Schizosaccharomyces pombe: one gene and its partner. The protein of the gene in region 2 purifies or fractionates together with the protein of the main gene of each other region. This does not show direct contact. Each region holds a gene or a part of one and is shown on either strand. Other genes may lie near its edges.

Region 1 (4,864 bases), on a different chromosome or scaffold from region 2:
AATGTCATACACAAAATCACTGGGTTTCCGTTCCCCAGACCAAGATATAATTGTTTAATTAATCAGCTTTCAGTTTAACTCAAAAGGTTTAAAGAATTCAGTCAACATGCTAAAAATTTTAGACGCTGACCTTCGATATGAACAAAAATTTTCAGTTACATTTATCAAAGTCTAATCAATTGTAAATTTAAGTAGACTATATGTCACTCTGATTTGTATAAAACGAATGCTTATGCTTTCTTATCCAAATGGAGATAATAAGTAGAAAGAAAGCAACAAACAGTTAATCAATGAAAACACTCGTACCATAAATTTAAATTCGCGCATGCTCTATAAAATAACTTTCTAAGGTATAGCAAGCCAAACTATGAATCTAATTGTAATTTAACATTTAAAATTTAACATAAGGCTTTTCTTTTGCATGCCTAGTTTTCCTTGACTATTAATAATTTAACACAAAGTAGAGTAAATTCACATTCCCAAATTTTGTAAAAGAATAGTTCATTAGGGGGGCTATGCTATATATACCTTTTTGCTAATTAGCACGTCACAATAATCGTGACTGCTTTACCTTAGCAACGCCTACCTTAGTTAGCTAGGTTATACTAATAAAGTCTATAGCGAGAAAAAGCATAGAGAGCGTTATTTCGTCAATTTTAAAATTTTTATTAATTATCGCTGAATAAACACAAACTAACCGAAAACTGTCCCCTTTTATTAAAGCAAACGAACAAAACTAAATATTTGGCCAAACCTGGTAACAGAAGCAGTAACCAAGGTATATTAAACTTTTCAAAAGACGAAGGGAATCATGTTTTAAGTATTATAAAATTATATGTACCAAGAAAAAAAGCAAAGTATGCGGCATTATGATTTAATTAAAAGATTCCATTAAAATACCAGCTCTTCCACTTGCTATCACATTGAACTTTGCCGTCCTTGCCATAAAATAATTCCAACCTATCAATTTCATCAGCATCACGACCCTTTGTTTCAGGAAGCAAAAGTGTGAAAAGAATGCCACCCCACATGCATCCGCAGAAAATCCACATAACGTTACCATATCCAATAACACCGGTCAAAAAGTTAAAAAGAAGTGATGCAAGAATAGCGCCACATTTACCCAAAGCAGCTGAAACACCATGAGCAGTACCACGTACGCGTGCAGGGAAAACCTCAGCGGGATAAATAAAAGTGGTGGAGTTGGGACCAAAGTTAGAAAACAGTTGGGCAATAACAAAACAAGCAAATCGACCACCAGTGGAAATTTCGTTCCAACGTCCTGCCAAAATTGCAAACATCAAACCAGTAATCACGAAGCCTTGTAGTTGAATCCATTTACGTCCAAGAATTTCAACAAGGAAGACGTTGAACCAGTATCCAGGAACATAGCCGGCAACAGCGATAATCAAGTTGCCAATTGCGTTTTTCATCAATGTGCGGTATTCGTTCGTACCAGTACTGAAGCCAATATTCTTGAGAATGACAGATTGATTAAGATTGACACCGTAAAAGGCAATATCCAACAGAAACCAACAAACAGATGTACCCAAAAGATGCTTAAAATGACGCCATTGTCTGAAGTAAGTGATAAATCCACTGCTGTTTTCAGGGGTTGTAACTGCGGCAAATTGTTTTTCAATGTTATCAACTTCAGCGTCAGCAGCATCTGCTTGATTAGCATAACGATCAGAAGCTTCGACAACCTCGGAGTCACCATGGCTAGATGACTTCTTCATATTGTCCTCATCATCGGTATTGAAGAATGCCTTTGGATCTTTTCCTTCAGCACTATTAAGTGCTTTAGAATTCTCGTATGATTTAGATTCTTTCATGATGAGACGGGGAATAAGAACACCAATAGCAGGAACCAAAGCAAGACCAAATTGAAGACGCCAGACACCTTCGAGTTTATGATAATGACCTTCCCGATTCAATGGATGTTCGAAACAACCCAAAAGGATGATGGTAACAATGGCACCAGCAAGAGTTCCGAAACCTTGGAAGGCAAAAATTAAAGAAATAAGTGTACCACGTCGTTTAATTTTACTACGCTCAGAAGTGATAGCGGCAGACATTGGATAATCACCACCAATACCTACACCGAGCAACCAACGCCAACAGAAAACCCACATCATTTTCGAAAGAGGAGAATGAATGCTTTTAGGCATAGCGATAACCAGAACAGTAGCGATGATAACAATAACCATTTCTTTACCGTAGACAAATTTACGGCCAAAGAAATCACCCATAAAACCAAATAACAGTTGTCCAAAAATGTTACCAATATTGGCTGACGCATTTACAAGACCACGAATACCAGAGGGATAATGGCCTTTTCCTGTGGGACCTTTTTCAATACCACCCCAATAAAGATATTCAAAAATGGGAGTAACTAAATTGATGATAAAAAGATCGTAACTGTCAAGGAAAAACCCGACACCTGCAAGCATCATAAGTTTAAATTCGCGCTTTGTCAACCCCAAGTAATAGCGACGCTCTTGCGCACCCTCTTCGACTTGGTCGAGAGGTACTGCATCGTCGTTATACTCATCAGACTTAGATCCAATGTTTAAAATTTTGCTCCCAAATGCCATCTTGTGATTTCCTTGCGTTCAAAATATGAGAGAAAAGGAAAGCAATGAATGATAAAGTAAGTCTTAATCGCTGCTTTATGCAAATTAATGAAGTCCGAATGCGGTTGCAATTAGAATTAAGAAAACTGAGTACCGGTGGTTTACACACACAGATAATTCAGTATGCAATGGAGCAATATATATAGTAAACTACCAGTTTGTCAGATTGGTGGCTTTGTTATAGAAAAAAAATTAATAATTAAGATCAAAAGCTTTGGTGTTGACGTTCCCTGGCAACCGGCACATTCACCACCTGCTTAATCTTATTTCAAAACAAAATAGCAAAACAGGAAGAAATCGGAAATGCAAAACACTATGTTTATAAGTAAACCGTCCAATTTGCTTTGTAACTGATATGAATCCAATAAGGAAATATAAAAAAATAGTAAAAAAATATTAACAATTAAAATTTTCTATTTCAGGATTAAGGTAACGCGGTGTTAGAAAACTGAGGGAAAGTAATGGGTCAATTTGGTTTAAGATTTGCACTTTAAAGTAAAAGAATTAGCACTAGCGGACAACTGCAAAAACAGACAATTATACTAAAGGGGTATCAGTTCATAAAAAAGTTGCAAAAGTGGTAATACCCTCGTTAGACCCACTCGGAAATCTTAAGTTAATAACGTTGACATTACTAATTGAGACAAAATTGTAGTTAAGAGACAAACTCATACTGCAGAGAACTCAATACGGTATGCATTCAAAATGAAATTTGCGAAAATAAAAATCAGTATGTCATTATACAATACAGAATTGGCCCAAGTAAAACACGGTTTAATCGTCGAGCTGTTTGGTTTTTTCAATTCCATGGAAAGCACGCGATGTCGTTGTTTTAAAACCAGTAATCGGCCGGTTTCAAAAGTATACATTCCAGAATACCACGGATTGATGCTGTGTAGCTCAATGCATGCCCACACACAGAACACCCGGATAAGTTGGTTCCGATATCCTCCAACCCGATAGGATGTTGGGTGATAAGATTTCTTTGACAAAATAGACATCAACAAAGCATGCATGCTTCCACTTCCATTAAACTCGGCGAACGGAAATGCCGCCATCCTACAAAATTCCCCTCACCTCTCCTATTGTCGGTCTTTGAAATTAACAACTACCAGGTACCGAGCAGAATGTTCTGCACGGAATTGACCTGACAACCGGCATCCGCACAAAACAGCCACTTCAGCAATTTCGGTTCCAAGTATGTTCCATTCATGCACGTAAACCGTAGTTTATTTTAGGAACCTCAGTTTACCGAACGCTAAAATTTATTAGGCAGCATATACTGCCGAAGCAAAAAGATGAACGGATACGAGGATTTTACCGCCCGCCACCCTTCAACAAGTGTAATGGATATAAGATGATTTGATAGTATTCGAAAATTTTTGAATTTTCGTGTCGAGTAGCAAATTCCATTGTTTTACATTCTTGCTATCTAATTAAAAGCAACGATGAGTTAATCTTTCGTGCATTATTCTAGTTCGACAAAACGCAGAATAATTTTCAAGAAAAGACCGTGGAAACTAATTAATTATTATAAGGACAGATGTCGATATTAATAAATTTCAATTTCTAACGATTTTCATAGTTTAATTTGTTATGAATTAATTCTATCTCATCCTCTATGACTTATTTCGTTCTATTTCATACTACCAATGCGTTTAAATTAAAATTAAAAATTTGAATAGTTAGGTACTCAGGCTTCTTATATAGCTATTGATGCAGTGTGTGACGTCATTTTTTTAAATTGAAAAAGGGGGTTTTTGACAGGGTAAGATTGTGTACCGTTCGGTATGCAAACTGAACTGGAAGATTGGAAAAATTAAACCCTTTTCTGAAAATAATAGGAATTAAGTTAGGATAGTCGAAACAATTTCTTCCATATAACTATCGTGATCAGTCAAGGGCAGTTTACTAATTTATTTCCAGCGTCGTATATTGCCGAATTCACACGCATTTTACTCACATCGTTCGAAGATAAAAAAAATATAAATAATAAAAATTGAAATTCGTGTAAGCGAAAAGGAATGTGTGAGAAGGATTTTGGACTGTTCTATTCTCATGGGAATGTGAAGTAACTACTCTCTTGCTACCATAGTTGCTTGTTGTGACTTGACATCGTATAAGTGACTGTAAATTAGATGCCGGCTCCATGTCGCACAATAAACCTTTTGAGAGAAAATAAATTATGACATTCCTAAGACTCGGCAATTTTGATTTGTTATTTTTTT
Region 2 (6,540 bases):
ATTCCGATATGGACAACTACCCTCGTCCTTCTCACGCTGATTATACCTACTTGGAGAAATACGGTGTCAAGGCATCTTCGGGTGGTGGTCGATCCAGTGCCCGTGAAACCATTGGACGAGTCGCGGCTGGTGCAATTGCTGAAAAGTATCTCTTAGAAGCTTATGGTGTCGAAATCGTTGCCTTTGTTTCCAGTGTAGGCAAAATAGCCATTCCATTGCACGAAACCGCTTCTTCCGCCATATTGGACCCAGAGGATGATACATTTGAATCTCCTATAACCGCTGAATATCTGAAATTCCTCAATAAAATTACGAGAGAGGAAGTCGATAAAACCACTGTTCGTTGTCCTCATGCTGCGACGGCCGCCAAGATGGCTGAACGTATTACTCGAGCTCGTGATAACCACGATTCCATCGGTGGTACTGTAACCTGTGTGATCCGTAATGTTCCCACCGGTCTTGGTGAACCATGTTTTGACAAACTTGAGGCCAAGCTTGCTCATGCCATGATGAGTATTCCTGCCACCAAGTCTTTTGAAATTGGCTCAGGCCGTGAAGGCTGCAAAGTTGCTGGATCCAAGCATAACGATCTTTTTTACCGAAATGCTGATACTGGCAAGCTTGGTACCTTGACCAATAACAGTGGAGGTGTCCAAGGTGGTATTTCCAATGGCGAAAACGTTTACTTCACCATTGGCTTTAAGTCTCCTGCTACCATCGGCGTAGAACAGTCAACTAGCCGTTACGATGGTAGTGACGGTGTTCTTGCTGCCAAGGGTCGTCATGATCCCTGTGTTGTTCCCCGTGCCATTCCCATCGTTGAAGCCATGGCTGCTCTTGTCGTTATGGATGCTGTCATGATTCAACAAAGTCGTATTGCCTCTCGAAACCTACTCCCCAATGCTCAATAAATTAAAAAAAGTTAAAAATAAGCTAGTTTGGGGGCAAGAATCTCACTTCAATTGAGTTAGCCTACTGGATTATCTTATTTTGATGCGCCAAAAAGAGAGGATTAGATATACCTTTTGTCTCTTAGATTACATATGTACATTTTTTTTGGAGGGTAAATTTAACACAAATTAAGGCATATTTAACAGATACTTGTCAATATAGTGTGTAAGATTATAAATGAATATTTTTAAAAAAAGTAAAAAATTTAATACACAAGAAAAACTAAAGAAGTGTTGCAAAGAGTATAAGACCTTCTCTTCAACTAGCAATTGATGTTTGTTTGTATGCAGATTTTTTTCATGTTTATTACACAGACACCTGCGGTACACAATCTAAATTGGTGACCAAATATAGCTTTTGCCATTCTCTTTTAATCTTGCCATTGATTTTTCTCTCATCTAAGTATTCATACTTACACACTGTGTATGCAATTATGATATATTATACCGGCAGTTTGGTCATGTTGCAAAAAATTTTTTTTGCTAATGCCGTTTATCGGCACATCGTCTATGCTTGTAGATGAAGTAAAGGATTATTATTATGTAAAAAAAAAAATCTTTGGATTTATGGGTTTTACTATCAACGTTTCCATACTTGTGAGAAAAAGTGGTAGTTGTTTTAAAGTAATATTTTGAATAATCGAAATTTGTTATAGAATATTTCTGATGTTCCACACATTTTACGTACCAAAAAACCTCTGTAAGAAAATAGTATTCTATTATGAAGCCTTCTTCTCAGGCGTACTTCTCGTTAGTCCCACCTATGATGAAATAGCAACCATCCCGTCTACTATCTGGAAAAGGAGGATTACGTATAGTAGTGTAATACGGAATAGTGAAAGGTACTTCGCAAAAATGATCATTCCAAAAGTGCTCATCGTCATCCCTCACCAGGTGTCGTGCTACGGTATAGATGTACCTAACCTTTTCCAACCACCAGTATAACGTAGGCTTGATTTTAAACAAGATATTAATCAATTTTGGAGATTGAGGACTACTAAAAATCTACAAGTCTTAAAGAAGAAATAAATTTCAGAGTCATTTAGCTTGGTAGCTTTACGACTATAGCCCCGCCGAAATACGAGTTGCCTAGTCCCCGATAGAGGAAAAGCTCGATTAGTAAATCCGGTAATTCATGTACTTATTGACTATTGAAGCTATTTAAGAGGACTCGAGGAACACTTCCTGATGGGATCAGTGAATAATGAAGAAAAAACTTTAATTGAGCCACAACGTCTTTTACGGAAAAATACTTGGCATCCAGAGGTAGACGATAGCGAAGTTCCTCCTTCTGTCTTTCCTGAATATCCCGTCCACAAGGCCATCCAGAAAACGTCCGATTCATTTCGTAAACGGAACTACAGCGCGGGAGATTATGTAATAGCCCCGTTGGGCGGAGAACGTGAAGGAAGTTCGTTAACTCACTCATGGACTTTTCAACCTGGTAAGCATAACCAGCGTCTTTATTCTGATAATTTTCAAGAGGCTCAGCGCCAGTGGAAGCGCCTGCAAGAATGGGGCGAGGTGAAGGAAACAAAAAAGATAAGAAAGCGGTTTGATCGGTTTTCGGGTCGTAAATACATTAACCACTATGAGATTATAAAAGAACTAGGACGTGGTATGCACGGTAAAGTCAAGCTTGGCCGTGATACCGTTACCCGCGAACTGTTGGCGATCAAGATCATCCCGAAGACGGAACGTCGTCCGAAACTGGGCCGAGCCAATGCTTCCAGTCAAAAGGAAAAAGTTCGTCGCGAAATTGCCATCTTAAAGAAATGTGTCCATCCTAATGTCGTCCGCTTGCGCGAGGTCATTGACGATCCATCCTCAACGAAGGTGTATCTTGTTTTAGAGTACATGAGTGGTGGGGAAGTGCCATGGACAGATTGTGACTCCCCCGTACTCTCGATTAGCGAGGCAAGACAATACTTTCGCGATGTTGTCTTGGGTCTAGAGTATTTACATTACCAAGGCATTATTCATCGAGATATTAAACCCGCCAACCTTCTCCTTAACTCTTCTAATTGTGTCAAAATATCTGATTTTGGTGTTTCGTACATTGCCAACGCTGGCCTGAATGAAGACAACGACGTTGAGCTTGCAAAAACTGTCGGCACTCCTGCTTTTTTCGCCCCTGAATTGTGCTGGACCGATTTGGATCGCCCAAGGCCTAAGATTTCTGAAGCAATAGACGTATGGGCTTTAGGCGTTACTTTGTTTTGCCTTTTGTTTGGTCGTTGTCCATTTAATGCTAGCATGGAGTATGAGCTTTTTGACAAAATCGTCAATGAGCGTCTGAACATCCCTTCTACACCCGACATTGGTGAAGAGGGTCGAGATTTGCTTAAAAGATTATTATGCAAAGATCCTGAACAACGTATAACACTTGTAGAAGTAAAACTTCACCCATGGACATTGGATGGCTTGAAGGATCCTGAAAAATGGTTGCAAAACACTGATCCCAGTACCGTCAGTCGTGTTGAGGTTTCTACAGACGAAGTTGCTTCTGCAATCAGCCTTGTGGGTCGTCTTCGCAGAAAACTTGGTAAGCTGTTTCGTTTCCGCCGTCCAAAAGCGCGAGTGTTTGATTCTTCCTCCTCTGTTCCTTCCGACTCTTCCATTTGTCGGCCTGAGAGCTCTGGTAATTCTTCAATTGGTTTATCCGCGTCCGAGTTGTCCGATTCTTTTAATCGGCTTGCGGTGAATGAGTCTCAGAAGGATCGTGAAAGAAAGCAAGTACATCCTGTCGAAATGGGTCGTAATAGTTCTGAGAAAAAGCCTAGATGTGACTTTGGCTGGGACTATGAGGCATTTCCCAATGACAATCAAGATGCTGATGATGCTTGCAGCTATAATACCGGCGACTCTATTCCACAAGTCTCCAAATCCATTAACGGTCATTTCGAAACGTATAGTCGCACGTCGATGGATACGGATGATGTAGCCTCTTTCGAATCTCCAAATGCGAAGCATGAGGAAAGTGGAATGCCTGTCGTTACTTTTCGTAATTATGAGAATTATGATGCTAATCCGTCCAATTTTCATCCAGTGGTTCCTGGTTTTGTATCATCACCTAACCTTCATTTAGCCGGGGGCTCTGACACACCTATCTACTGCATTGAGCATTCCTTCACACCAACTAATTGAGTGCTGTATGAACATTTCCCAATTTTATTCAATTGTTTTTTTTTTGCAATGTAGGTTGCATGTGTCTTTTAATTACTCATTTCTTATTCTTGGCTTTTTACCTAGTGTTCAATAACACTTTGTCATTCGTTTTCATCAAATCATGTCATTCGGACCTTTTAGATTTTTATTTGTCCTATATGTTTGCCCCATCTCAAGAGAAGCCTTTTTTTTTCCTTTTTCTAAATAAGACGCTTAGGTTCCAAGTCTTTTGGAAAAAAGGTGACTTTATTGATGATTCTTGCGCATTCCACTCGTTTTACTCGTTTATTTTAAAATGTTTTATTATCTAATGTGCCTTTTGTTTACCTCGTATATCGTGATTTTTTTTCCTATGAGCAAAAAAAATTTACTGATTAGACGTTGAAACTGGTTTTTTTGATGAATTCTTCTTATTCCTGGCATAGGAAATAAATATCATTTTATTATTTTTTTATGACCTAGTTTGTAATTTCTTCTATGTGCTGTTGTGATACAAATCTATTGAATATAGGTGAAGTGGGGCAACTTTTGTATGGTGTGATTTAGAAGACAGACAGCAATATTGCTACCATTTGAGAAATTTTATCTTCTAAAGCCTACAAATTGGACGTATGAAGAATTTTTATAAACTAATATTTTGTAAGGGAAAATCTTCATTTTCCTCGTTTGGACTTATTCGTGAAGCAGATGATGCTTCGTCTTCGAACCACAGATGATCTCCGTATGAAATACAGAGTTCCTCATTTGTTTTTATCTCTCGTAATGTGTAATATGAGATGTAGTTATTGCGATTGTCTTTTTTCCAATACACGTTTGGATGACGGTCGTGATTGAACATACTTCCAAGTCCTAGAGCTAATCCTTGTTTGCCTTCGCTCCAAACATATGTGTATTCGTTAAGAACTGTATACTGTCCATGTTGTTCATATTCTTCTTTGCTGAACATCAATACAGGACTAATCTCAATGCATGTTTGTGCTGGAATAGGCTCAAGAGCAAATACTCCTCGGCCTTTTCGTTCTGTATCACGAATCTAAAGCGTTAGTAAACTTATAATTAGACACAATCGTTCAGTCTGTCGACTGATTTTACTAAAGAAAAGAAAAGAATGTGAAATGTTTTCTTTTATATAAATGATTATGAATCATGCTGTGAATCGTTGATCCGTAACATTACCCTTTCGATTATACAACAACAACAATCTTCGACATTTGCTTTTTCTACTGTCTGACTCAACTCATAGCAAAATTCACACAAATAAATATAAATGAATCGAAACACAAAAAAGTTAATTTAAAGTGACTTTTAACTTTCTTCTATCTTCTAGCTATCCTACAATACCTTACCTCAAGCGGACTACGAATAACAGGAATCCGCATTACAAAATCAATTTGACAACTGTCTTAATGATCGGTGTGCTTCACTTCTTACACCTTTTGTGAATTACTTAATTTTAGATGTTTCGTGTCTTTATAGATGAGCCAGGGAGTTGATTTCTTTGGGCTCACGTTTGATGTCTTTCTTTTTTCATATATTAAATTAGTAATTTCTAATAGAAATAAACCAAACAAGGAACTTATTTCACATATACGAATGGCAAAAATAGTTAGTAAGTTAATAGGAAAAAATTTATTTTTCCCAAATAAGGCAGCTATAAGACTCCTTAAACCTATTGTGGTGATACTTCGGGTCATGGTACGTTGCTATATTCACTTTAGTAGATAAAAGGTTATAGTGCGCTATGTTTTTCTATCGAACATTTTGCTGCATAAACAGTCGCAAGTTACCGTTTTCCATTTAGTGTATGGAGGATGCTTTTTGAGGTATTGGCGATCTGTAGTTAAATTGGCATTTGAACAGGTTGGAAAGTGCGTAGGAATAGTTATACTGTTAGCGTTGAAGTGCCCAATTCCTTACGAAAAAAGTTTCGCACGATTTATGTGGAATCGATTTGTGGCATATTTAGTAAGTTTATTCTTCAAAAATATAATATAAGCTACAAAACAAGTTATCTTTTCCTTAATTATTGCATATGCGATTGCGATCATTTACGATGCTTTAAGTTGCGAGTGGAATGGAAAGTATCGCAGATCATTTCTTTCTCGCAGGTCTCTCTAACGGATTTGTGAGTGTATCCAATTCTCAATTTCGAGCAGATAGACTTGATGAAGACGCCATATCTGTTTCTAGTTCTATCATCCAAAACAATACAAGGAAGTCGCCATTAAAAAGAGTGTCAATCACTTCTGAGTCTTCTTTTTATAAAGAAAATACCTTTGCGCATCACAACACCACTGGATCCAATTCTGTGGGTCCAAAGAAGCCGTTTTTAGATTATCATCACTCAACATCTAACACACCGACCAAGAAAAAAAAGGATTCATTTGACCATGCCTCCGTTACGTCCTTACATCGTCGTAGC

Evidence for each region.
Region 1: the proteins of ssp1 (region 2) and pho84 purify together in Schizosaccharomyces pombe (affinity purification with mass spectrometry, with the first as the bait; one study listed by BioGRID). This does not show direct contact.

Annotation. Positions count from the first base shown.
Region 1 is NC_003423.3:4,441,985-4,446,848, reverse strand, and holds pho84 (inorganic phosphate transporter), read right to left. Parts: upstream 2,749-4,864; 5' UTR 2,598-2,748; coding exon 879-2,597; 3' UTR 649-878; downstream 1-648. UniProt on the Schizosaccharomyces pombe protein: High-affinity transporter for external inorganic phosphate.
Region 2 is NC_003421.2:1,876,576-1,883,115, forward strand, and holds ssp1 (calcium/calmodulin-dependent (CaMKK) protein kinase Ssp1), read left to right. Parts: upstream 1-1,871; 5' UTR 1,872-2,138; coding exon 2,139-4,097; 3' UTR 4,098-4,740; coding exon of another isoform or gene 4,741-5,151; 3' UTR 5,152-5,464; coding exon of another isoform or gene 5,465-5,497; 3' UTR 5,498-5,735; downstream 5,736-6,540. Other genes in the region: aro2 (chorismate synthase), read left to right, coding at 1-911; histone lysine methyltransferase Set7, read right to left, coding at 4,741-5,151, 5,465-5,497; SPOM_SPCC297.05 (diacylglycerol-binding protein), read left to right, coding at 6,193-6,540. UniProt on the Schizosaccharomyces pombe protein: Involved in actin localization and thus in polarized cell growth.